Alligator mississippiensis: one gene and its partners. The protein of the gene in region 1 binds, or shares a complex with, the protein of each later gene. Links are inferred from orthologs where the notes say so. Each region holds a gene or a part of one and is shown on either strand. Other genes may lie near its edges.

The links.
Region 2: the proteins of NAA35 (region 1) and NAA30 are in contact, whole or in part, in a cryo-EM structure (PDB 7MX2), measured with the Homo sapiens proteins. The link is inferred for Alligator mississippiensis from reciprocal best matches to the Homo sapiens genes NAA35 and NAA30. Residues at the interface, in NP_001308810.1 of Homo sapiens: Leu45, Gly46, Leu48, Leu56, Ala59, Met60, Ala62, Glu64, Lys69, Glu121, Phe313, Pro314, Arg315, Ala444, Leu510, Glu511, Leu512, Glu517, Pro605, Lys606, Phe607, Glu608, Leu609, Asp610, Val614, Arg615, His618, Arg619; in NP_001011713.2 of Homo sapiens: Glu221, Pro238, Ser240, Tyr242, Thr243, Arg245, Tyr246, His249, Asn250, Lys304, Ile324, Glu334, Asn335, Leu336, Gly337, Val339, Arg340, Asp341, Lys342, Arg343, Phe345, Arg346, Tyr347, Tyr348, Leu349, Leu359, Trp360, Leu361, Arg362.
Region 3: the proteins of NAA35 (region 1) and NAA38 are in contact, whole or in part, in a cryo-EM structure (PDB 7MX2), measured with the Homo sapiens proteins. The link is inferred for Alligator mississippiensis from reciprocal best matches to the Homo sapiens genes NAA35 and NAA38. Residues at the interface, in NP_001308810.1 of Homo sapiens: Val30, Asp31, Ile32, Thr33, Phe36, Ala39, Cys40, Leu43, Leu45, Glu47, Leu48, Leu49, His50, Asp51, Phe54, Glu58, Ala59, Ala62, Ile63, Glu64, Met65, Met66, Ala72, Gly73, Met74, Gln306, Arg307, Leu309, Pro310, Pro311; in NP_001307854.1 of Homo sapiens: Ala41, Arg42, Leu45, Glu46, Leu48, Leu49, Arg61, Phe67, Leu68, Cys69, Thr70, Asp71, Arg72, Cys74, Ile77, Arg97, Val98, Leu99, Gly100, Leu101, Ala102, Met103, Val104, Pro105, His108, Ser111, Ile112, Glu113, Val114.

What each region holds. Positions count from the first base shown.
Region 1 is NC_081826.1:204,256,546-204,264,564, forward strand, and holds the start of NAA35 (N-alpha-acetyltransferase 35, NatC auxiliary subunit), read left to right. Parts: upstream 1-4,942; 5' UTR 4,943-5,146; intron 5,147-5,493; exon of another isoform or gene 5,494-6,414; intron 6,415-7,473; 5' UTR 7,474-7,483; coding exon 7,484-7,607; intron 7,608-8,019. UniProt on the Homo sapiens protein: Auxillary component of the N-terminal acetyltransferase C (NatC) complex which catalyzes acetylation of N-terminal methionine residues. N-terminal acetylation protects proteins from ubiquitination and degradation by the N-end rule pathway.
Region 2 is NC_081825.1:294,637,846-294,644,832, forward strand, and holds the start of NAA30 (N-alpha-acetyltransferase 30), read left to right. Parts: upstream 1-3,941; 5' UTR 3,942-4,030; intron 4,031-4,168; 5' UTR 4,169-4,171; coding exon 4,172-4,822; intron 4,823-4,829; exon of another isoform or gene 4,830-5,091; intron 5,092-6,876; exon of another isoform or gene 6,877-6,987. UniProt on the Homo sapiens protein: Catalytic subunit of the N-terminal acetyltransferase C (NatC) complex. Catalyzes acetylation of the N-terminal methionine residues of peptides beginning with Met-Leu-Ala and Met-Leu-Gly.
Region 3 is NC_081838.1:24,904,122-24,910,208, reverse strand, and holds NAA38 (N-alpha-acetyltransferase 38, NatC auxiliary subunit), read left to right. Parts: upstream 1-4,415; 5' UTR 4,416-4,519; coding exon 4,520-4,555; intron 4,556-4,720; coding exon 4,721-5,048; intron 5,049-5,354; coding exon 5,355-5,455; 3' UTR 5,456-5,558; downstream 5,559-6,087. Other genes in the region: cytochrome b5 domain-containing protein 1, read right to left, coding at 2,342-2,572, 2,742-2,960, 3,341-3,417, 4,177-4,306.

The DNA of each region.
Region 1 (8,019 bases):
AACCACACATCCAAAGTGCAGATCACTGTTAATCCCTCACAAATATTCCAAACAGGCCGAATACTACAGCTACTCTACACTAGCTAGTCCATGTAACAGTGCATCCCTGAGTTAACAGGCATATTGCATCCAGACTACACTAAAGAGTAAAGCAGTGAAACAACATACCTGTTCCACATACGTTAAACCCCCAAATGGAAGTAATGGAACTGCCACAAAGCTAGGCACATACCTCTGAGCTCTAGCTCAAGCACAGCAACTGGCACACACCCATTCCCATGCTGAGGGAAGTTGCATTACATCTGGGATTTTTAGTATGCACAAAAGCAGCCAGGCTGAGCTCCCTAATGTGAACTGGAGACCATGCCAGGGACGATATTCATAGATTCATAGATGTTAGGGTCAGAAGGGACCTCAATAGATCAAGTCCGATCCCCTGCATAGGCAGGAAAGACTGCGGGGTCTAGATGACCCCAGCTAGATGCTTATCTAACCTTCTCTTGAAGACCCCCAGGGTAGGGGAGAACACCACCTCCCTTGGGTACCCGTTCCAGACCTTGGCCACTCGAACTGTGAAGAAGTTCTTCCTAATGTCCAATCTAAATCTGCTCTCTGCTAGCTTGTAGCCATTATTTCTTGTAACCCCCGGGGGTGCCTTGGTGAATAAATCCTCACCAATTCCCTTCTGTGCCCCCGTGATGAACTTATAGGCAGCCACAAGGTCGCCTCTCAACCTTCTCTTGCGGAGGCTGAAAAGGTCCAGTTTCTCTAGTCTCTCCTTGTAGGGCTTGGTCTGCAGGCCCTTAACCATATGAGTGGCCCTTCTCTGGACCCTCTCCAGGTTATCCGCATCCCTCTTGAATTGCGGTGCCCAGAATTGCACGCAGTACTCCAACTGCGGTCTGACCAGCGCCCGATAGAGGGGAAGTATCACCTCCTTGGACCTATTCATCATGCATCTGCTGATGCACGATAAAGTGCCATTGGCTTTTCTGATGGCTTCGTCACACTGCCGGCTCATGTTCATCTTGGAGTCCACTAGGACTCCAAGATCCCTTTCCACTTCCGTGCCACCCAGCAGGTCATTCCCTAGGCTGTAGGTGTGCTGGACATTTTTCCTCCCTAGGTGCAGCACTTTGCATTTCTCCTTGTTGAACTGCATTCTGTTGTTTTCTGCCCACTTATCTAACCTGTCCAGGTCTGCTTGCAGCTGTTCCCTGCCCTCCGGCATGTCCACTTCTCCCCACAGTTTTGTGTCATCTGCAAACTTGGAGAGTACATTTCACTCCCTCGTCCAAGTCGCTGATGAAGACATTAAAGAGTATTGGTCCAAGGACCGAGCCCTGTGGGACCCCACTGCCCACACCCTTCCAGGTTGAAGCCGACCCATCCACCACAACTCTCTGGGTGTGACCCTCCAGCCAATTCTCCACCCACCGGACTGTATAGTCATCCAAGTCACAGCCTCTTAATTTGTTCACCAGTATGGGGTGGGATACCGTATCGAAGGCCTTCCTGAAGTCTAAGTATACGACATCCACCCCTCCTCCTGTGTCCAGGCGTTTCGTAACCTGGTCATAAAGAGAGACTAGATTGGTCAGGCAGGATCTGCCTGCCACAAACCCGTGCTGGTTTCCCCTCAGCATAATTTGTCCTGCCAGGCTCTTGCAAATGTGAGCCTTGATAATTTTTTCAAAGACTTTACCAAGGATGGAGGTGAGACTGACTGGCCTATAGTTGCCCGGGTCCTCCTTCCTCCCCTTCTTGAAAATGGGGACCACGTTGGCCCTTTTCCAGTCCCCTGGGACTTGGCCCATGCACCACGAGCGTTCCAATATTCCCGCCAGTGGCTCTGCAATGATGTCAGCCAGTGCCTTCAGCACCCTCGGATGGAGCTCATCCGGGCCTGCCAACTTAAAGGCATCCAGTTCTTCCAAGTGACTCCGCACCATCTCAGGGTCTACGCATGGAAGTCTGGTGCCTTGCTGCTGCCTCTCTACAACCCCAGTGAGAGACTTGTCGTGCCCCTCGTTTATTTTTCTAACTCAATTCATTTTTGGCCATATGGCTTTTTGCAATAAAACTGATAACAGGTTCCATTTGGTTGCGACACACATTGTCTGAGCGTTAGAGTGGGACCAACCACATTCGGCAAAAACTACTGCAGCACCCATCACAGAAGTACTACCCAACCCGAATAGAATTAGAAAAAAACTACTTGCAAGTCAAAGCCACTAAGTTCCAGTAACAATCCCAAAGATTTTATAGTTTGCTTAAAAAAAAAAAACCAACTTAAAATAAAACATGAAATTAGTCTAGCCAAAGGATAAGGACATGTCTATTGGACATTAAAGATATTAAGTATTAAGTGCATTACTACCATTATCTCATGTAACAAAAAAGGGCAGAGCCCCCAGAACTTCAGTGTCTTTTCTGGAAAAGAAACAGTGCCTATTGGTGCTGGTCTCCTATGTCAGGGATTAGTACATTTTTTATCATAAGAATTAGTTAAGAATACCCCTGGCTTCAGTAGCTACTTTCCAATAATCAATATACCATTAACCTGCTCTTTGCAAGTGCAATCTTTATCCTGAGATCTTTAAATATTGTGTATATGGGCCTGTAAAATAAGTGGAGGTGTGAAAGGATTAAAATCTAACAGCATATTTCAACACTACAGAAATAAACAACAGACACTGTTACAACAAAAGTTCACACAGAAGCTTCCTTTTACCAGTGATGACATTAGCTTTTAGAGAATGTGTGTTTTTGTACACAGTAAAAGTGAACCGCTGAGACACGTCATGTAACTAATTCCTCATAACCCAGAAAGCAAAAATATTTGCTGAACTAACCTGCAGTAAGTGAATTGCTAGACCAGCAATTTTCAACCCACCCCTCCATAATTTCTCTGAAGTCAGTGCCCTCCCCCCCACCTTTCAACAAAATTAGTTTCTTTTGTTTTTTTTAGACAGTGGAAAAATAACAGAACAATTCTATTGCAAGCAACTCAAAAACACTACAGTTCAGAACGTTTTTGACGCTGTGGAATCCTATTTGAATTCTTTGGACTTATCTTGCAAATCGTATGTAGATCCGTGCACATCTAACAGTGCTAATATTGTGTAGGACCTTGCAACACCCTTAAAAGAATGTCACAGCACCCTGATTGAGAATCACTGAGCTAGTCAGTATTATTTTGCTTATAAGCAGCATCCACATCTGTGTTATTTGAAATAATTAATTATGAGTAATAAATTAGGCCCTTGTGGTAAAGTATACAACATTATGCAGGACACTTCAGCAAAACCACATAGAATGCAATACAAAGGCAAAAAAAAGGTTGCCTATCAAACATATTTGAACAAACCATGTAGTCTCCGATAAGTATGTTTCATTAAACACCATCCTAAGCCACCTTTCAGTTTGATTGCAAATTTCTAAAATCATATTAAATCTCATATCCCTGAGAGCTCTTCACAACACAGCTCTAATTCTATCACACATACCCTTGCATAATTCCAATGGATTGCATGCAGGTGTTCAAATATCAATATTAAAACAAAGAGAAAGCATTAAGTCATAGAAGTGCAGGCCTGGAAGGAAGGATCTTAAAAGATCCAATCCATAAATGCAGTAAGACCAGTGATCTCCAAGCAAGTTGCTGCAGTACCCTGGAGTGCCCCAATATCCTTTTAGGGATGCCACAGGGTGCTATGCAATATTAGCACTTTTCAGCGTGCAAACACAATATGTGATTCACAAGCTAAATCCACAGATTTCAAATCAGAACACACAGTGTCTAAAACATTTTTTTAAAGAAAATTTTTCATGTCCCAAATCAAATCAGCTAAATCAATTCCAAATCCATGAGTCAGCCAAGAACCATATGTGGCTCTGCTACCGGCAAGCATCCTCCATCCCTGGAGCTTCAGATGCTTCCAAATCTGGTGGCGGGCATCCTATGTGTAGGCCCAAGCCCAGAGGCTTGGGATTCAGATGCCCCTGAGTTTTGCTTACTGTCAGCTGTATGGCCACAGGAGTGAGCTAGGGAGGAGTCTCCCATTTCCATAAAATTGGCATGTAGCAGATCATCCCACTGGAAGGGAAACTAGGAGACTAACTATATACATTACCCCAGTTAGCGGTCACAGTGTTTCCCCTGCCAGGTTCTTATACCCCGTCTACAACAGGCATGGAGAACAAGAGGGCACCCTCTTCCAGGCACCCTGCATACATCCCGGCCCCTCTCCTCTCCCTGCCTCCTCCTGCCCAGGCTGGTCTGTTATGGACAAAGAAAATGAACCCGAACTAAAACCCCAGCTCCCACCTTGCACCCAGGAGGTGGCTCCTCGTTTGCACCTGGCACTTATTTTCCCCATTGCCTGGGAGTAAAAGTAATTGCTCTGGAGGTTTCGGGCGCAGTTCTTTCCGTCCCTCCGTTGGCCCTCTGTCGGGGAGGTGGCTCGGCTTTCCATTGCGGCCCCCACCCCCAGCCCCGCCGCCTCTTTGCTTCCCCTGCTGCTGCGTCCAGCCCTCCGCATCTTCCAACCCGTCTCCATCACCTCCCTACCCCGCCCCCACGCCGGCCCAGCCGGCCCCGCCGGGCGTTTGGGACCGCGGGAGGGGAGCTGGTCCCGACACGGGGAGGCGCAGAGTACGAACCACAGCGGACGCCATGGGCCCGAGCTACACCCCCAGCCCTGCCTGGAGGCAACACCAGCTCCGCCGAGCGCACCACAAACGCCCGCAGAGCAGTAGATCACGGGATACCCCGCCCCTCCGCCTAGCCACGCCCACCTCTGCCGCAAACCCCGCCCTCTCCTCCCGGTCCTTCCCATACCGAGCGCTCGGCGGCTGGCCTTTCTCGCGATACATGGCCCTATCGCGGCACAGAGGCCATCTTGGCTTCTGCTCACCGGCACGACTGGCGCATACGTACTCCAAAGAGCCTAGCCCCGGCTTCCGGAAATGGGGGGAGGGGGTTCGTAGGCGCATGCGCTTGACCCTGAGGCCGAGCCGGACGCCGGCCGTTGGGAAGCGAGGGGGTTCTGCGCGTGCGCAGCAGCGGGCTCGGCGGGGCCGGGCGCTGTCGGGAAGCGACGCAGACGCGGGGCGTGCGGCTAGGCGGGAGCAGCGGCGCTCGGTGAGGCGGTGGCCCGCCTTCCCTTTCACCCGTCGTGGCTGCGTCAGCAGTGGTCTGACGGGAGGGGGTTGGCGCCGGGGTGGGGGTGGAGCGGCTCCTCAGAGCCCCCGAGCGGGGTGCCGGGGGCTGCGCAGGGGCTCGAGGGGCCCGGCGCTACGCAAACAGCGTATGTCTGCGTTGGGGCAGGGGGAAGGGTCTCTAGGGCTACAGGCGCCCTGGGTGTGTAGGGCTGGGGGGGTTGGACTAGTGACCTCGGGATGTCCCCTCACACCCCGCTGCTCTGGCACTTCTGCTCGTGGATTCATCCTGGTCCCCAGGGCTGTGGTTAAGAAACTCTCTGGAAAGGGCTTGGGGCCTGCCTGGCTTCAAGCATTTTGCATATGGTGCGTGGAAGGGGTGGGGGGTCAAGTCTGCTTCAGCTTCTTCTGTAGCTCTCACAGCCACTAATGTGGAAGGGCAGCCTTGGAGCGCCTGAGGAAATGGGTGTTTGAAAATGGTGATGTTCAATCTGAAGCCAAGTTCATGGTTAATCGAGCAGTCATGATCCCTGCCTCACTGTGTGGAGCTGAGACATGGATGGCGTACAGACCTGTTTGCCACTTTAAGGGTTTGTGGGCCAAAGACCTGTGGGTAACATACAGAAGACGCCTCAATGCGCTGGAGAAGTGTTGTCAACGCTGCCTGCAGAAGATCCTTCAAATCTAGTGGGGAGGCAGACGCACCGACGTTAGTGTCCTCTCACAAGTGAACACCATGCGCATTGAGGCAATGATTGTCCAATGTCAGCATTGCTGGGCCGATCGCATCATCTGGATTTGTGACTCCAGACTCCCAAAGCAAGTTGCATTCTCCCAGTTCAGGCAAGGTGTACCCTCAAGAGGAGGGCAAGGGAAGTGCTTCAAGGATGTCTTCAAGGCTAACTTGAAAAAATGCAAAAGTGATATCAGCTCATGGGAGATTTGCCCAGCACTGCGCTGAATGGAGGAAGAGTCTGCTGCAAGGATCTTAGTACGTTGAAACTTCAAAATGACAACAGGAGATGGAAAAATGGGAGTGGCAGAAACAGTGTTGTGGACTGAACCAAGAACCCAGAGCCACCCGCCTTGCATGGAAACGTATGCCCAAGTTGCAGTGGTGTCTGTCAATCCTGGATAGGCCTTGTCAGCCATCTTTGGACCCACAGATAAGATGATAATGGAAGATGGTCATCCTTGACTGCGAGGGATTGCCGACGATGATGGTTATTATAAAACAACTGGAAAGGAAAGGTATAGTATAGTGTAGTGGTATCATATATGCAGTCTGCTGAGCTCCATATAACGCAGCCCCTGGTGGTGCCCCTTTTGCTGCACTAGAGCATCCCCATGCTCAGTGCCTGGGACATGCGCTGTTAGCAGCACCTCTCTGACTGGACCAGATTTCTTAAACAGCAGCTCATCTATGATGGACGTGGAGAAGAAGAGTGCCATCCTTTTCCTGGCAACCTGTGTGTACTGTTACCCCTCTCCTCTTTCCCGTTTACTTGTACGGAGGCTGGTTTGTTGCTGACAAAACTGACCTGAATTAAAACCTAGTCCGGATGCAATATTGACATGCCAGTGAAGTCAGGGTTATAATATATGTTACATTGGCTGGCTAGTGTGGAGAAGCTGTAGTATTTTGCCTATTTGGAATATTTGTGAGGGATTAACAGTGATTTTTCACACTCTGGGTGTGTGTTGCTTTCTCACACGTGCATATCCGGCACATTATTTGTGCCCATTGCTAACTGTTCCCAATTATACCATGAGTAAAAACAACCACTTAAGGACATTTCTTGCTCAGAAGAAACTACTTACATAGCTATTAGGAGGGCTGTGCCACCTGTGCTACATTAGCCAGGCAGATGTGGTGGGGCGGCAGGGTAGAATGGGATCTGTAGGCCTGATCCAGCATGCGGACTGGGCCTGCACCAGGGGCCAAATGAGTTTGGCACCCCAAAATAGCATATATAGTGTTTGAAACTGTTCATATATTGTTTTAACATATTGGGGGGGTTTACGATAACTCTGACTTTATCAGGGGTTCTCCAACCTAGCATTGCTGTTGTTAAACTCACAAAAATAAGCACAGCAAAATGTTATCCCATATGATGTATCTGGGAATTCTAAAAGAGAAAACATCCTTTGGAAGGGAAGGTGAATGTTGGGGCTGACCAGCCTTAAATTTACATTTACAGCTTTTTAAACTTATATTTGCATGTGTTCCTTGAGCAATAACATTTGCTCCCCTGTGAAGCACTCTGTCATTTGTTCTTGATGTGCAGTGTTTGTGCTTTGGATGTATAGGTGCAGTAGTATGGTTATGAAAGCTTCTGTAGAAGATGATGATTCAGGATGGGAGCTCAGTATACCTGACAAGATGGAAAAAAGTAATACCAGCTGGATAGATATTACGCAGGATTTTGAAGAGGCTTGTAGAGGTGAGTTGTACTTTTTGCATTGCTGCAAGATGCCCAGAGAACTGGAATACTTTGCAAACATGTTTTTCAAGTCTGTTTTCCAGCCTGGGGGATCTAATAGGGAAATGACCTCCAGTATGGTTTGGTCCCATTGATTATATTGGGGCTTTGCAGATTCAAGGTTCTGCCTATGCCAAGCTTCTTGTAGGATTGGGGCCATGAAACTAGCAGCCCCTTTTCAGAAGGTATATGTCCTCCATTGTATATGGCTGTATTTTTCCATATGCTTTCTCTGTGCCCATCTGGCTTTTCCATATGCTTTTCCTGTTGTCTTGAAACCATCTTGTGCTCTTCCACCCCACAAACGCTTATTAATGGGAAGCTTTGCATATTTAGGATGGACCTGTCTTCTGTTTTCAGGATGGACCGGTCT
Region 2 (6,987 bases), on another chromosome or scaffold:
AATGAGCTCTGAATTTCAGAGAGCAGAAGCAGCAGTTCAGTGCTTCCCACAAGACATCTTCAATGTGCTTAAATCTAGGAGAGAGAGAAGAGAGAGTTCATTTTTCAGACCATACATTTATTTTCCTCTGTGCTGAAAGTGCCAACAATAATGGTATCCATTCAGATCCAAAGGGATGATAATTATTTTGAAGTGGACACCTGTTCCTCATATATAATCCCTTTGAGAACAGAAATAACCTTCCTAATATATCTGAAAGTACCATTGCCATGTTCACACAGCCTGCAGAAGTCCCTTTCAAGATAAATACTAGAAGAAATAAAAGGGAGACTTCTCTGTAGGCACACTGCCTCAGTACTATGTCAACTAAAGTGTTTCTTTTCAGTGCAATTGATCTCATCCACACTGGCTGTATTTTTCTTTTTTTTTTTGTTACAACAATTTATAGTTTTATCTCTAGTAATGCGTGTGTGCTTTTTACGCACTTCAGATTTCTAAAAAGCAAGAAGCTCTCAATGAGGTAGGGAGCATTATATTTTATGATCTTTCACAGCAAATTTATGTGGGAGAGGAAAGTTGAACTTGTGGTTAAGGCACCGGTGAGATCTATTTAGTTTCTTGTTCTACTGCAGACATGTCTGACCTCGAACAACTCACTTGCTATTTCTCTGCCTCACTTCCCCAGCTCTGGTGATAATTCTGCTTCCTTTTGCCCCAGCCATTCTCTCTCTATGCAAACTTAAAGCCCTTTGGGACAGAGATTGTTTTTGTTTTTACATGCTTATACATTGACAGGGGCTCATTCTCATTACTATAGACCAAATAATAACATAAATAATACCAAGAAGACAAGGACAGTCACTGGATTAAAGGTAGGACTTTGTGAATTGTTTATTCATAACCATTGTCAGTAATAAGTCCTCACCTTAACTGGTGTTGAAAATGGTTTGGCGGCGAATATAGATGAGTCAAAACCATTTTCAGCATTATTGCTGAATAGATGAAACACATTATTGTCTGAGAATATGTTTCAGATGGTGCATTATTTTTTCCAGTAACAGCTAAATCATTTTCAACCTTGCTTGACAGCAACTGTCAACAATAGATTGCTTTTCTAACATGGCTGGGATTGCAACATTCAGAAATAAACATTCCCAATTCCACTCTTGCAAAATTGTAACTGTGAGTAAAATGTGTCCATTGGTACAATAAGACTTCTTTATACAATAGCTCAGTGTTTCTTTTTGTTCAAAGGGGTGAAATTCACCCCATCCGCATACAGTTGGGTATTTGGGCTCCATACAAGCACAATGCAAAGCAACTGTGAGATTTGAAAGGTCAGTGGTACTAGAGATAATATACGTTATTTTTTTTCTACAGGAAATCTAAAAATATATATTTAAATATAAATGAATATAGGTCCATTTTCATTCTTGAAGGTTTTCCATTATTCTCTGTGGTTAAAGAAACATTGAATCATTTGTTATAAATCTGGTATTTTATTTTTCTGAGAGCTCAGCAACTCAAAGACGGAAGCTTGAAGTACAGAGGGTTTTTTCCTAGTTAAGCAACCTGTTATGGCACATACAGCAATGACTAGTTTCCTTTAAAATCTAGACTTGTCATTTTCTCCAAAAAAATGACAGTACATGAAAATGAATGAGTTCTACATTCAACAGACCTGCATAGTCCCTTTTTTAATCTTCATGTCTCATGTATTTGAGGTAATCTTTAAAGGAACTCCTTGTTCTGAAGGATTGCTCTTAGTTTCTGAGCAGAATTTGAACTTTCAGTGATAGCTTCTTCCAACCTCCTTTGCTTGTATCCTCTCAAATTCTGTCACTTGCAAAAAACAGGCAGGGAAGTTGATTTCTATTTACATGCACTCTTTGAGGTTCCTCCACACGGCAGAGTTAAATGACTTTCTTTGAAACAACGACAAAGAAAGCTTACAACTGTCCCCACCCCACTGGAAGAAGGAGCGGTTTGGCTAGTATATTCCTTTGGTGGAATAATAACAATATTCATTCTTTCCGGCCAGCAGAAGAGCTGAGCTACTCTTAGTGATAACACATTACCAGCCGCAGGAGTTATCATGGCCACTCAAATGGCTTTGCAGAGCCCGATAAGGGTAATTAGCATCTTGTGGCCAGCTAGATATGATTGAATCCTACTAGGGAGTGTCCCAAGAGCAATGCTGCCAGTGTGCATCCCTGTTCCTAACACCAGTCCATTGAGTGACGGAGTGGCAAGGGAACAGGAGAGGCTGCAGATGCCAGCTATAAAAGTTTTACTGTTTTAATCCCAAATCCCACATGAGTTCTGTAAAGGGAGATCCTTCTGCCCAGCAGCAGGCAATACTGGAGTGTCAGTGGGCAAGTGTGGGTATGTTCACGTGGTATTATACAATGCGGTGATCCTCCACCACCTGGGATGCCCTGAGGTCCTTTCAAGCAGCAGTGGCCTTAGGCTTGTTGGGGCCCTGAGCAAGAGAGTCATTCGGGGCCCCTTACTGGCTTAATTTTGATGACCTATAAGCAAGTTGGACATTTGTTGCAAAAGTTTGGGGGCCTCTAAAGTGTGCCTTGCCGAAACCACCTTGCCCCATCGCTGCCCAAGTTCTTTGCAACAGACGGGCAAAGTCTTTTTCCAACGTGTTTTGAAATTTATTTTTGAGTTGCCAAAAAAAGCCCAGTGAACGCAAAAAGCTGGCATTTTCCTCATCTCCAACCCCGCGTCTCTCGAGTCTCAGGTGGGGAACCAGGGTGGTAACAGATCAGGGCCGGTCCAAGGGTAATTGGTGCCCTAGGCGAACTGTGTACCTCGACATCCCCACGCTTCAATAGAGGAAAAGAAGAAGTCTAGAATGAACTTTCACATGTGCTTATTTGATTTTCAAAATGAACAATAAAACAATAAAAACTAATTTTTGTTTTTAATTGTTTCACACTTTCCATGAACCCTAACACACTTATAACAGCTGGCCAGAGCTGTTACAGGCAATCCCCGCCTAACCCCGTTTCACTTCGCACTATTTCGCTGTAACGCTCGTTTGAAATCGATACCTGGTTCCACTTCGCGCTCGGCCAGTTTCGTTATAACGCTTGCGCTCGCCCTCTCGGGTCGTCAAATCCTGCCGGTTTCGCTTAACGCTCGTTTCACTGAACCCTCGGTTTTTCAGGAACCGATTCGGAGCGCTAAGCGGGGGACGCCTGTATTTAAAATAACGTTCCTGTTATTTTGTTCTGCGTCTCATTTTGGTGCCCCCCCACCCCAAATTTTGGTGAACGCTGCGTGCCCCTGGAGGCTAGGGGATGGTGAGCTCCTACAGGCGGCCACGGCGGTGTTGGCGACCACGGGAATGGCAGTCTGCAACCACCCGCAGACGCCACCGAAACCCTCTCAGCAGTGTTGGCGTGCCTTTTCGCAGGGGGTGCCCCGCCACGCCCAGGGGTGCCCGTGCACCCCCTACATGTCGCCAGTTTACCGATCCCGAAAGCTACCTCAGCACAAAGCCCTCAGGACCCCGTCTCACGGCCCCCAGCACCACGGCCGCGCTCGGCCGCCATTCTACGGACGGGTTGGCGACTGACTGGATTCCACCCTTATTCTCTGGGTCTAAAAACACGGGTGGGGGACGATCCCAGGGCCAGCTGCACTCACGTTGGCGGTGGGGCGGGGGTGACGGCCCCTTCCCCTTGCCTCTCCCGGAGGGGCTGAGGAGAACCCCGCGAGCGAGCGAGCGAAGGGTCCCGCCCCCACCTCCAGCGCGCGCGGCTCCTGATTGGCTGGCGCTGCCTCGCGCCACACCCCGCTCCCAACGGCTGCGCCCTGCCGCGCCTGCGCAGATCCCTCCCCTCCGCATTCTCCCGCGGCTCCCCTCGGCGCGTGTCCAGGGCCGGCCGCCAAGCGCAGCTGCGTCGCGACGCGCTGACAGGAAACCTGTCCGCGGGTCACGGCAGCGGCGGGCGCGCTTTACGGCCGCTGGATGAGTGGAGCGGGGAAGCCGCGGCGCTGAGGAGACGCGGGGGTGAGCGCGGCCGGGGGGCGGCGGCGGCGGCCGGGGGTGGGGGGAGGACGGGAGAGGGAGCGGCGCGGCCTACCTTTGTTCGCACCCCGGCCCGGCCTGACGCGCCGCCCCCCGGCCGCGGGCCGGTGTCTCCCGCAGGACATGGCCGAGGTACCGCCGGGGCCTAGCAGCGTCGTGGCGGTGGCGGCGCCGGGCGACGCGCTGTGCCCGCTGCCGGGCGGCGGCGGCGCGGGCGCGCAGGACGACGAGGCGGCGGAGGAGGAGGAGGAGGAGGAAGGCCCCGGCAAGGGGGGGCCGCCGCCGCCGCGGCTCCTGCACCCGCACCCGCCGCACCACAACCACCAGCTCAACGGCCTCCTCAGCCCCGAGCTGCGCCGCCTCCGCGCCTCCCTCAAGAGCAAGGTGCTGAGCGCCGAGGAGGGGCCCGTCGCCGCCGCCAACCACCTCCCCCCGCCGGGCAGGACTGCGCCCCCCGCCGTCGGGGCCGCCCGCAATGGACTGGCGGGGGGCAGCGGGCCCGAGGAGGAGGAGGGGGAGGAAGAAGAGCAGGAGGACGAGGCGGCGGAGGAGCCCCTGCTGCTTCTCACCCGGTCCTTAGCCGCCGGCTGCAGCTTGAAAGGCTCGGGGACGGACTCTCGGCCCGAGGAGGACCCCACGATAGGATACGTGCGCTACGAGTCCGAGCTGCAGATGCCCGATATCATGAGACTGATCACCAAAGATCTGTCTGAACCCTACTCCATTTACACATATAGGTATTTTATCCACAACTGGCCCCAGCTGTGCTTTTTGGTAAGTGCCGGGCGCGGCGGGGGAGGGGAAGGGAGCAGAGGCGAAGGGGAAACTCTTTTTCGGATGAGTCTACCGAGGCGCGCCTGCATTTTTTTTTTTTTTAGTCGCGCGCCCGGTCGGGTTCGAACCCGGGGTCTTGGAGCGCGTGGGTTACGGTCGCGTTTCTGACGTCGGCTTTGCGACCTGCGGCCGCTCACTTCGTCTCTTCCTATCTCGGTTTCCACCTTTGTGAAAATTGAAATAGCGCTTCGCCCACGTGCGTAAGTAAGGTAATGCCAGCATCGCCTTTGTAAAGCAGAACTAAGTCAGTCGCTTCGAACCGTCTGGGTTTGTTTTACGGATATAGCGGGGAGGGATGGGGGATCAGAGTTTTGCAGGTCTCGCGCTATTTGATTTGCCAGATTACTCTAAAATGCAGCTTATGCACAGCCGTATTTCTCGGTGCAGCACGCAGCAGGATGGCTGAAACCTAGGCAGTGTCATGCTGGGTTAGGATGGCTGTACTGTGCTAACAATGCATCTAATCTGGTATCTGGCCGACAGTTTTGCTCCAGTAGTCTGTTTGTCAGTGGCTGGCAATCTTTGTCTAAAAGAAGCAAGTTTTAAAGCTACTTTCATGGTGAAAAGTTTGGTGTTGCAGTCTATACGTGCGAACTTCCACACCTACATAAGCTGGCTAGGGAACCATACTTGCATGATTAGGCCTGCAGATATTTAGGTGCATATTTGAATTTTCTTTATGTGAGTTCTCACGTGTCTAAAAGCATACGTGGAGCTGTTTGGCACTTCCCTACTAACGGAGAGTTCACTACTTGATGCCTTAATCAAGACTGCATGCTTTTCCAGACAATACAAGCCCAACTTATTAGACTCAAAAAAGGGGTAATGGGTTGAAAAACGTAATGGTGAGGTATACAGGAGTTACATTTTTAAACTTTGTGTATGACTTCCATTTAACCTCTGTCACAACTTAACCGTCTGTCTCAGGGTTTCCAAAGCTGTGTGCACACCTTAGTCCTAAAAAAGGGAGTAGAGGTGGTTGTGGGGAGCTGTGTAAAACATATAAAGCTTTGCACAAACCAGACCCAACAAATGTAAAACCATAAGGGGAAGACAGGTTTATATTACGTGAACACTGACACTTGCTGTGGTGTTAAACGCTGGAACCGCAGTTGATGATCGGTTTGGTGTAGAATAGTACGAGAGCGATGGGCAGCAAGCTGCTGTAGCTGCTTATTGTAAAATCGTGTTAAGCCTCTACCTGGTGTGCATCTAGACTTGTCTTTATACCAAATAATCCCAGCCCTTTTTAAACCACTTGTGTGATATGAATTACAAATAATCTGTGTGCACACACGATACTGAGTTGGGACAGAGTCTATTTACAGATGTAAAAACCCCCCAAGAAAAGGTGCTTTAGTTAAAACTCGGCACATCCCTGCACTTTGCCCAGCACATGCCCAAAAGAGGCATTGCATTAGTTGGACCCGGGTCGCCCAACATCTGTATAGATCGGGTGCTTCAGCAGAACCTTTTTTGGCATTTTTATCTGATAGCTGATTGAATCAGCTATCAGATAAAAGTGCCAGAAAGCCCCACTAAAGCACCTGATCTCTATAGACGCTGTGGGACCAGGTCAAACCAGCATGCTTCCTCTTCCGGTAAAGCATGGTTCTGGATTTTTTTTTTCATGTCTGTCAGCAGCCTGGATGTCTCAGCTGTAATCAGTAAGGCCCAAAGGCACTGTTGAATACAGCGTAACCATATTAGATGCATCACTTAGTTTTTGTAGCTCAGTTCTTGGCGAAGAGTGATTTGGGAAGATCATTTTGTGAAAAGGACAATGGCATGCAGACCCAGTGATGTCTCAAAAAAATCCTAAAAATATAAAAATCTGGACAAATAATGTATGGTTTATATCAGCAGATTCAAAACCGGTGAATAGAGTGCTCTGAAATATAATGTATTCTAAGTAGTTTTGCAATATCTGTGGTGGTAGAAGCGAACTCAGATTTATCTTTCAGCAGTAATTTTTTTTCTTTTTCTTCTTTTAGTTTGAAGCCCTGAAAAAACCAAGAAGGCTTGATTACTTACATTGGCAATGTTAATGCAGATATCTCTTCTATATTTTCTGTCCCTGTGAGTCACAGAACAGTGTAAAACAC
Region 3 (6,087 bases), on another chromosome or scaffold:
CTGCGGGTCAGCGGATAGGGCACCCAGCCACCGCTCACCCTGGCCAAGCAGCCCGCTGGGCAATTAGCGTGTCAGCCCAGGCGGCATGGAGGTCACTAGGCCGTCTGCTACGAGGTCTGGTGTCCCCATGGCTCCTGCCCAGGGCAATCCCCTCCTGCAAAGCAGCTGTTCCTCCCCCACCGCTGTTGCAGGCCACGTGTCTCACTCCTCTCCCTGCATGCCTGTCACTACCCAGCCATCCCCCAGCTGCCCCCCCCAGCCCCCTGCATGGAAAAAAACAACAATCCCCTTTCATTGCAGCTCTGAGCCAGGACTTGATGGGGCTGGCTGGCTGGCTCTCCCCAGGTCCCAGAGAACAACACCAAGAAAAATCAGAAGACCGTCCCCCCACCCCCCAGCACTCTTTTTTTTTTTACATTCTTTTTGGCTATTTGGGGTACAAAGGAGCTGTTTCCGTACCCACTTTCAACTCTGAAGAGACAAATAAGAAGGGCCCGGATCTCCCAACCACGAGCCGTGTCAATCAGCAAACGGTCTCAGCCAGGACAGCCCAGAAAAAAAAGAGATCTAGGGGGACTGGGGGCTCCTTCCACCTAGAAGGATTCTTTCTACCCAGGGGCATCCAATTTGTCCTTTCAATTGGACCCGGACCCAGACCTGGACCCATCTCCAGCAGCAGGGAATTGTGGGTTATTCATTGGCTTTAAATGAAGCCTGAGATTGGAGAGATCTGATTCATCAAGGTGCCGGCACACGCAGCACCTAGTGCTCCAAGGAGAAGGGAGCAGGCCTGCCTCTCGGCAAGTGAACTGGGGAGGGGACAGCTACACACATTTTTGGGGGTTCTGGGGGTTCGGGGGAGGTGGGGAGCAGGACCCAGTTCCAGGATAAAAAGGAGCAGTAGAGTTCTGGGTGGGTACCAGAGTGGCCAGTTATAGTGCAGGGGTGCAATGCCTGAAGAACTGCCCCCATTGTCATCTGCTCACTGCCAGGAGGCTTCAAGTCAGACTAACAAGCCTGTCTGCGCGTCTGCCCGGGCTCTGCTTCCTGCGTGCCCCTTGCCCCTGCTTCAGCCTTATTTTGGGGGGAGAGAAGCCCTGGCCTAGGACCCATCTTGCCCCCTCCAGGTTCAGAACCAGCTCCAGCATCCGTCCCCAGCACCATGTTTGCTGAGGATACTGAATAAATCCCCAGGCCCTGGAATCCCAGGATTCGGGCCGAGATGACCCCCTCGCCACACAGCCCCGCGGTCCCAGGACAGGAGGGCTGGGAGGCTGCGGCCTTCCCAGATGTCACGGGTCCAGCTGCCCCAAGAGGGCTCATCCCAGTCTCCCCCAGGTCAGGACCAGCCCAAGAGAAGGCCCCTTGCCCTGGCAGCAGCCCCCGCCTTGCGTCTGGGGCAAGCAAAGCCACAGCTGTCCCCCTGAGGGGAGGACACCAGACACATCAGGGCTGGTCCCCTCAGCTCTGCTGGCCCTGTTCAACCAGGGATGCCTGCCCACCCACCCCCAGAGAGGGAAGGACACCTGGTATAGCCGTCCTTCCTGATGGGAGGGGCTGGGGGGGGGAAGAGGAGGAGACAAACCCCAGGGGCAGTCCCGGACCCGCAACTGATGTTCAAGCGCTGACCTCTAGTGGCTGGACTGGAGCTGTACCCAGTGGAGCCAGGCAGGGGAGCCAAACCACCACTGCAAGGGTCAGAGTGAGCCACCGTGGGGCATTTCTGGCCGAGATTTTTGGAGACTGGGGGGGTCTCTGCCCCTGGATCCCCCGACCAGGCAAGGCCAGCTCTGCTCTCTGGAAGGAAGGGCCAAGGTGGGGTCAAGACCAAGAATATTTATTTGTGTTATGAGCTAAGATGAGACTCCAGCACCCCTGGCTGGACGTCGGGGGCATGGCCAGGCCTGGAAGAGAAAGGACAGGAGGACAGGGTGGAGGGGCCACCTGCAAGTCCCCCCCCCACCCCACACAGCCAGGCACGACCCCCCTCCTCCAGGATCGGGCCCTGGTGCTGCACAGACTGCACAGGGTCCTGGCTTCCCCCTGCTCTTCCCATCTCAGCATCGGAGCTTTTACCAGCCTCCACCCCGCCCAGAGCAGGATGAGACCCTCACAGGGCCTGAATTGACACCAGGCCCCCCAACAACAGCAGGGGACCAGGCCCTGCCACCCCAGAGAGAAGGTGGGCACACAGGACTGAGCCCCCCCAAGTAGGGCCAGGATTTGAACCTAGGACTCCTGTGGTTCCCGAGAGCGCTGTGTCCTGCCCTGTCTCCTGCGCACCAGGCGCTGTACAAACCCCACAGAGACCCCAGGGTGCCAGGCGCTGCCCAGGCCCTACCTAGAGCTCGGTGAGGTCGTCATTGAAGTGCAGCAGCAGGCCAGGGGCATGGAGGCTGGGGTCGAGGCCAAGGTGCCAGAGCTCCTCATCGTCATCAGTCAGACCATTCTGCTCCAGCGTGCGCTCCATGTCCAGCACAGCACCTGCATGCTTCCACGTGTAGCTGCCCGCATGCGCATTGTTAGGCAGGTAGCGCCGCAGGATCTCCCACAGCGACTCCTCCGCACACACCTGAGGGGGGCGGTCATGGGGGCACTGAGCATGGGGAAAGCCAAGGCAGAGACCCCTCGCAGGCCCTTCAGATCCACAGACCCCTCCCAGCCTGGCATTAGGGCCCCCAGTGATCCACAGACGCCCTGCCACCCCTGCCCTTGGGCCACACAGGTCCCTCCCAGCTCACCTCAAGCATGTGCTCCTGGGACGTGAGGGTGTTGATGACACGGACAAGCCGGGTCTTGGCCGACAAGATGCCCACCTCGTACTTGACATCCTTCCACCACGGTACCCCAAAGTCGTTGGCCCAGTCAGAGCGAGGCAGCAGCGGGGGCACATGCAGGACCCTGCCCTGGGGCGTGTAGTATCTAGGGCAGCCTGTCAGAGGATCCACGCAGGTCTGCAGCTGCAGGGGGGTGGGGGGAGCGGGGAATGGACCCCCCCATCATGGCAAAGAGATGGGGCTAGTTCTAGGGTGCACCCGACTTCACATAACAGGGACCCCCCCTGGAAAGGAAATGCAACCAGCTCTGGGGATGGGCAGCTGTGTACAAGGACCCCCCATTTGTGATGCAGGCAGCTCTCAGGGGAGGCTGTGTATACCACACCTTCTCCCCCACAGCCCAGGGCTTCAGTGCAGCCAGCACTGGGGTGGAGCGGGAGCTGCCTACCCACCTGGAAGGTGCAATTGCTGCCCCATGTCTGGCAGGAAGGACAGGAAGTAGGGGAGGAAATCCTTGCCCCCAAGAGTCCCTTTCCCCTGCCCTGGCCCCTGGCAGCACCTACATCTCGCGTCTTGGGGTTGAACCAGTGGGTGATGTCTGTCCCCGCCGCCTCCAGGATGGGCCGCAGCAACACGTCACCTGGGGGTGGGGCAATAGAGGGGAGTTAGTTGGGGGGCGTGGAGCAGAATCCTTTGCACCCCAGGATCCGCCCTGACAGCTGGAGAGGCCTTGCTGTGAGACTGACTCTGAGGCGAGTCATGGCTGAGTGTAACAGAGATCCCTTCCTTGGCGCTGAGATACAGCCAGCTCTGGAGTGGGTCACAGCTGAGTATAACAGATCCCTCACTCTGCACTCAGATGCAGCCAGCTCTGAGGTGGGCCACAGCCAGTTGTAACAGGGTCCCCGATCCTGAGATGCAGCCAGCTCTAGCTTGGACAACAACTAATTATAACAGAGGCCCTTCACTCTGCACTGAGATGCATCCAGCTGTGCAGTGGATCACAGTTGAGTATAACCGAGACCCCTCACTCAGCACCAAGATGCATCCGGCTCTGGGGTGGGCCATGGCCAGGTGCAAGTGTCCCCAGCCTTCTGAGATGCAGCCAGCTCTAGGGAGGGTCCCAGCTGAGTATAACCGAGACCCTTCACTCAGCACCCAGCTAGTCGACTCTGGGGTGGGGGGAGGGGCCTTGGGGGGAGAGGCCAAGTAGAGGAGGGGGCCTGAGACCCACTGGGGGGAACCGGAAGTAGCACAGACCCATGGGGGGGAGGGAAGAGAATCCCACCACTCCGGAAGTGGGTGGTCCCGGAAGTGTGGGGAGGGGGGATCCCGGAGATGGCGGGGGGGGGGGTCGATGCCGGAAGCGGGTCGGGGAGGGCGGGCGCGCCCCGCCTACCCTCGTGCTCGCGCGCCAGTGGGGTGAGGTCGTGCACGCGCCCCAGGAAGCTGACCCAAAGGTCGCGGGGCCGCGCGTGCGCCTCCACCTCGCGCGGGGTGAAGTAGCGCGGCCGCCGCCCGGGCTCCATGGCGTCACACTACCATAGCAACCAGCTCACCCTTCCCGCCCCAATGCGCATGCGCAGCAACACCCGGAAATGGCGCAGAAGGTCCAACGTGAGTTGTAGTTCTAAGGCCCGCCCCACCATTCCCGCCGCGCAAAGGTTGTCGGGAAGCTCCTCGTCATCCCTCCTCCCGCGAGCCGCGCAGGGACTGCCGGGAAGGGGAGACTCGGCGGGGCCATGGCGGAGTCGCCGGGTGACAGCAGCATCCCCGGGGTGAGCGCGCGGGGCTGGGAAGATCACGTGGTGAGGGAGGAGGCGGGGTCAGGCGAGCCACCTCCCCCCTTCGCCAGTCTCCCTCTGCGCAGGCGCAGAGCGAGGGAGATGCCTCGGGCGCATGCGCACAACACGAGTAGTGACATGCCTGGACCCCTCGCGCAGGCACAAAGGGACGCTGAGGCAGTGCAGCTGGGGGCTGTGACGTATTTATGGACCCCGCTCTCGCCGCAGTCGCAGTGTCTAGATGTGGGAGTCATGTGTCCCTGCAATCTCACGCAGGCGCAGAGCGAGGCGGAGCCGCTGGCGGCGCAAGCGCAGAGCGAGGTGGGCTCGGCGCATGCGCGGGCGCGGCGGCGACTGGAGGCATTGCTGAACCGCAGCCTGCGCGTGCGTATGTCGGACGGGCGCACGCTGGTTGGCTGCTTCCTGTGCACAGACCGCGACGCCAATGTCATCCTTGGCTCCGCCCACGAGTTCCTTAAGCCCTCGGGTCCGTGGTGCGGGGCTTGGGCAAGGAGGGGTGGGATTTAGGGGAGGGAAGTGCTCGAGTGGGGGGGTGGGGCTTACGGGCGAAAAGGGCGGGGTTCTGGGTGGGACCAGGGGGTGGGGCTTAGGGTGGATTGGGCGGGCCTTCGGGAGGGAGCGGGGCTTGAGCAAGAAGGTGGGGTTACGTAGGGGATAGGCCTTGAGGGGGTGGAGCTTAGGGAGGGGAGCAGGGGGTGGGGCTCTAGGAGAGGCTACTGGGTGGGACTGCAGCTTGAGCTCTAACCCCAGCTCCTCCCCCTTCCTCCCCCAGACTCCTTCTCAGGTGCGGAGCCGCGAGTGCTGGGCTTGGCTATGGTGCCTGGGCACCACATCGTGTCCATCGAGGTGGAGCTGGAGCCGTCAAGGCCATGACCCCACCCAGAGCGGAGCATGCTGGGACATGGCCCCCCTTTGGGCACTGTGGAGCATGTTAGGACACAGCCTCCCCCTGGCCAATAAAGGCAATGGGACCCACTGCCAGCCCGGGCCTCATCTGTATAGGGGGGGTGGCACTGGAACGGGTGCCCCTCACTCCTGCCCTGCAGCCCCCACCTCCTCATGGTATTGACCCCCCCTTCCCAACCCCTGTTTTTTTCTTGGCCCCCAACATAACCAGACCCCCACCCCCATCAGGGACCTCCCCACCCTGGTCACTCTGGCCCTGTCCACTGGGTCACCCCAAGGAGGGTCCTCACCCCCTTTCCTCACTGCCCATGGGGACCCCCTCCCCAAGATGAACCTCCCATGACCTGTGACCTCCTGACCCTAGCACCCCTTGGTGTACCTGACCCTGATCTCCCCATCCCTTTTGCCCCCAGGAGGGACCTCTGTCCCAGCCCTCCAGGGGCTTGTGACCCCAGCCTCGTCTTGGAGGTCATGGCCCCCCCTGAGGTCACTGACACCCCTCTAGCTCCCTGTAATGGCTAGGCCTCCTGAGGCAGCTGTCACCCCAATTCCCTCTCCCCTCAAGGTCCTCCCAACCCCTTCTCACTGCTATGAGATGA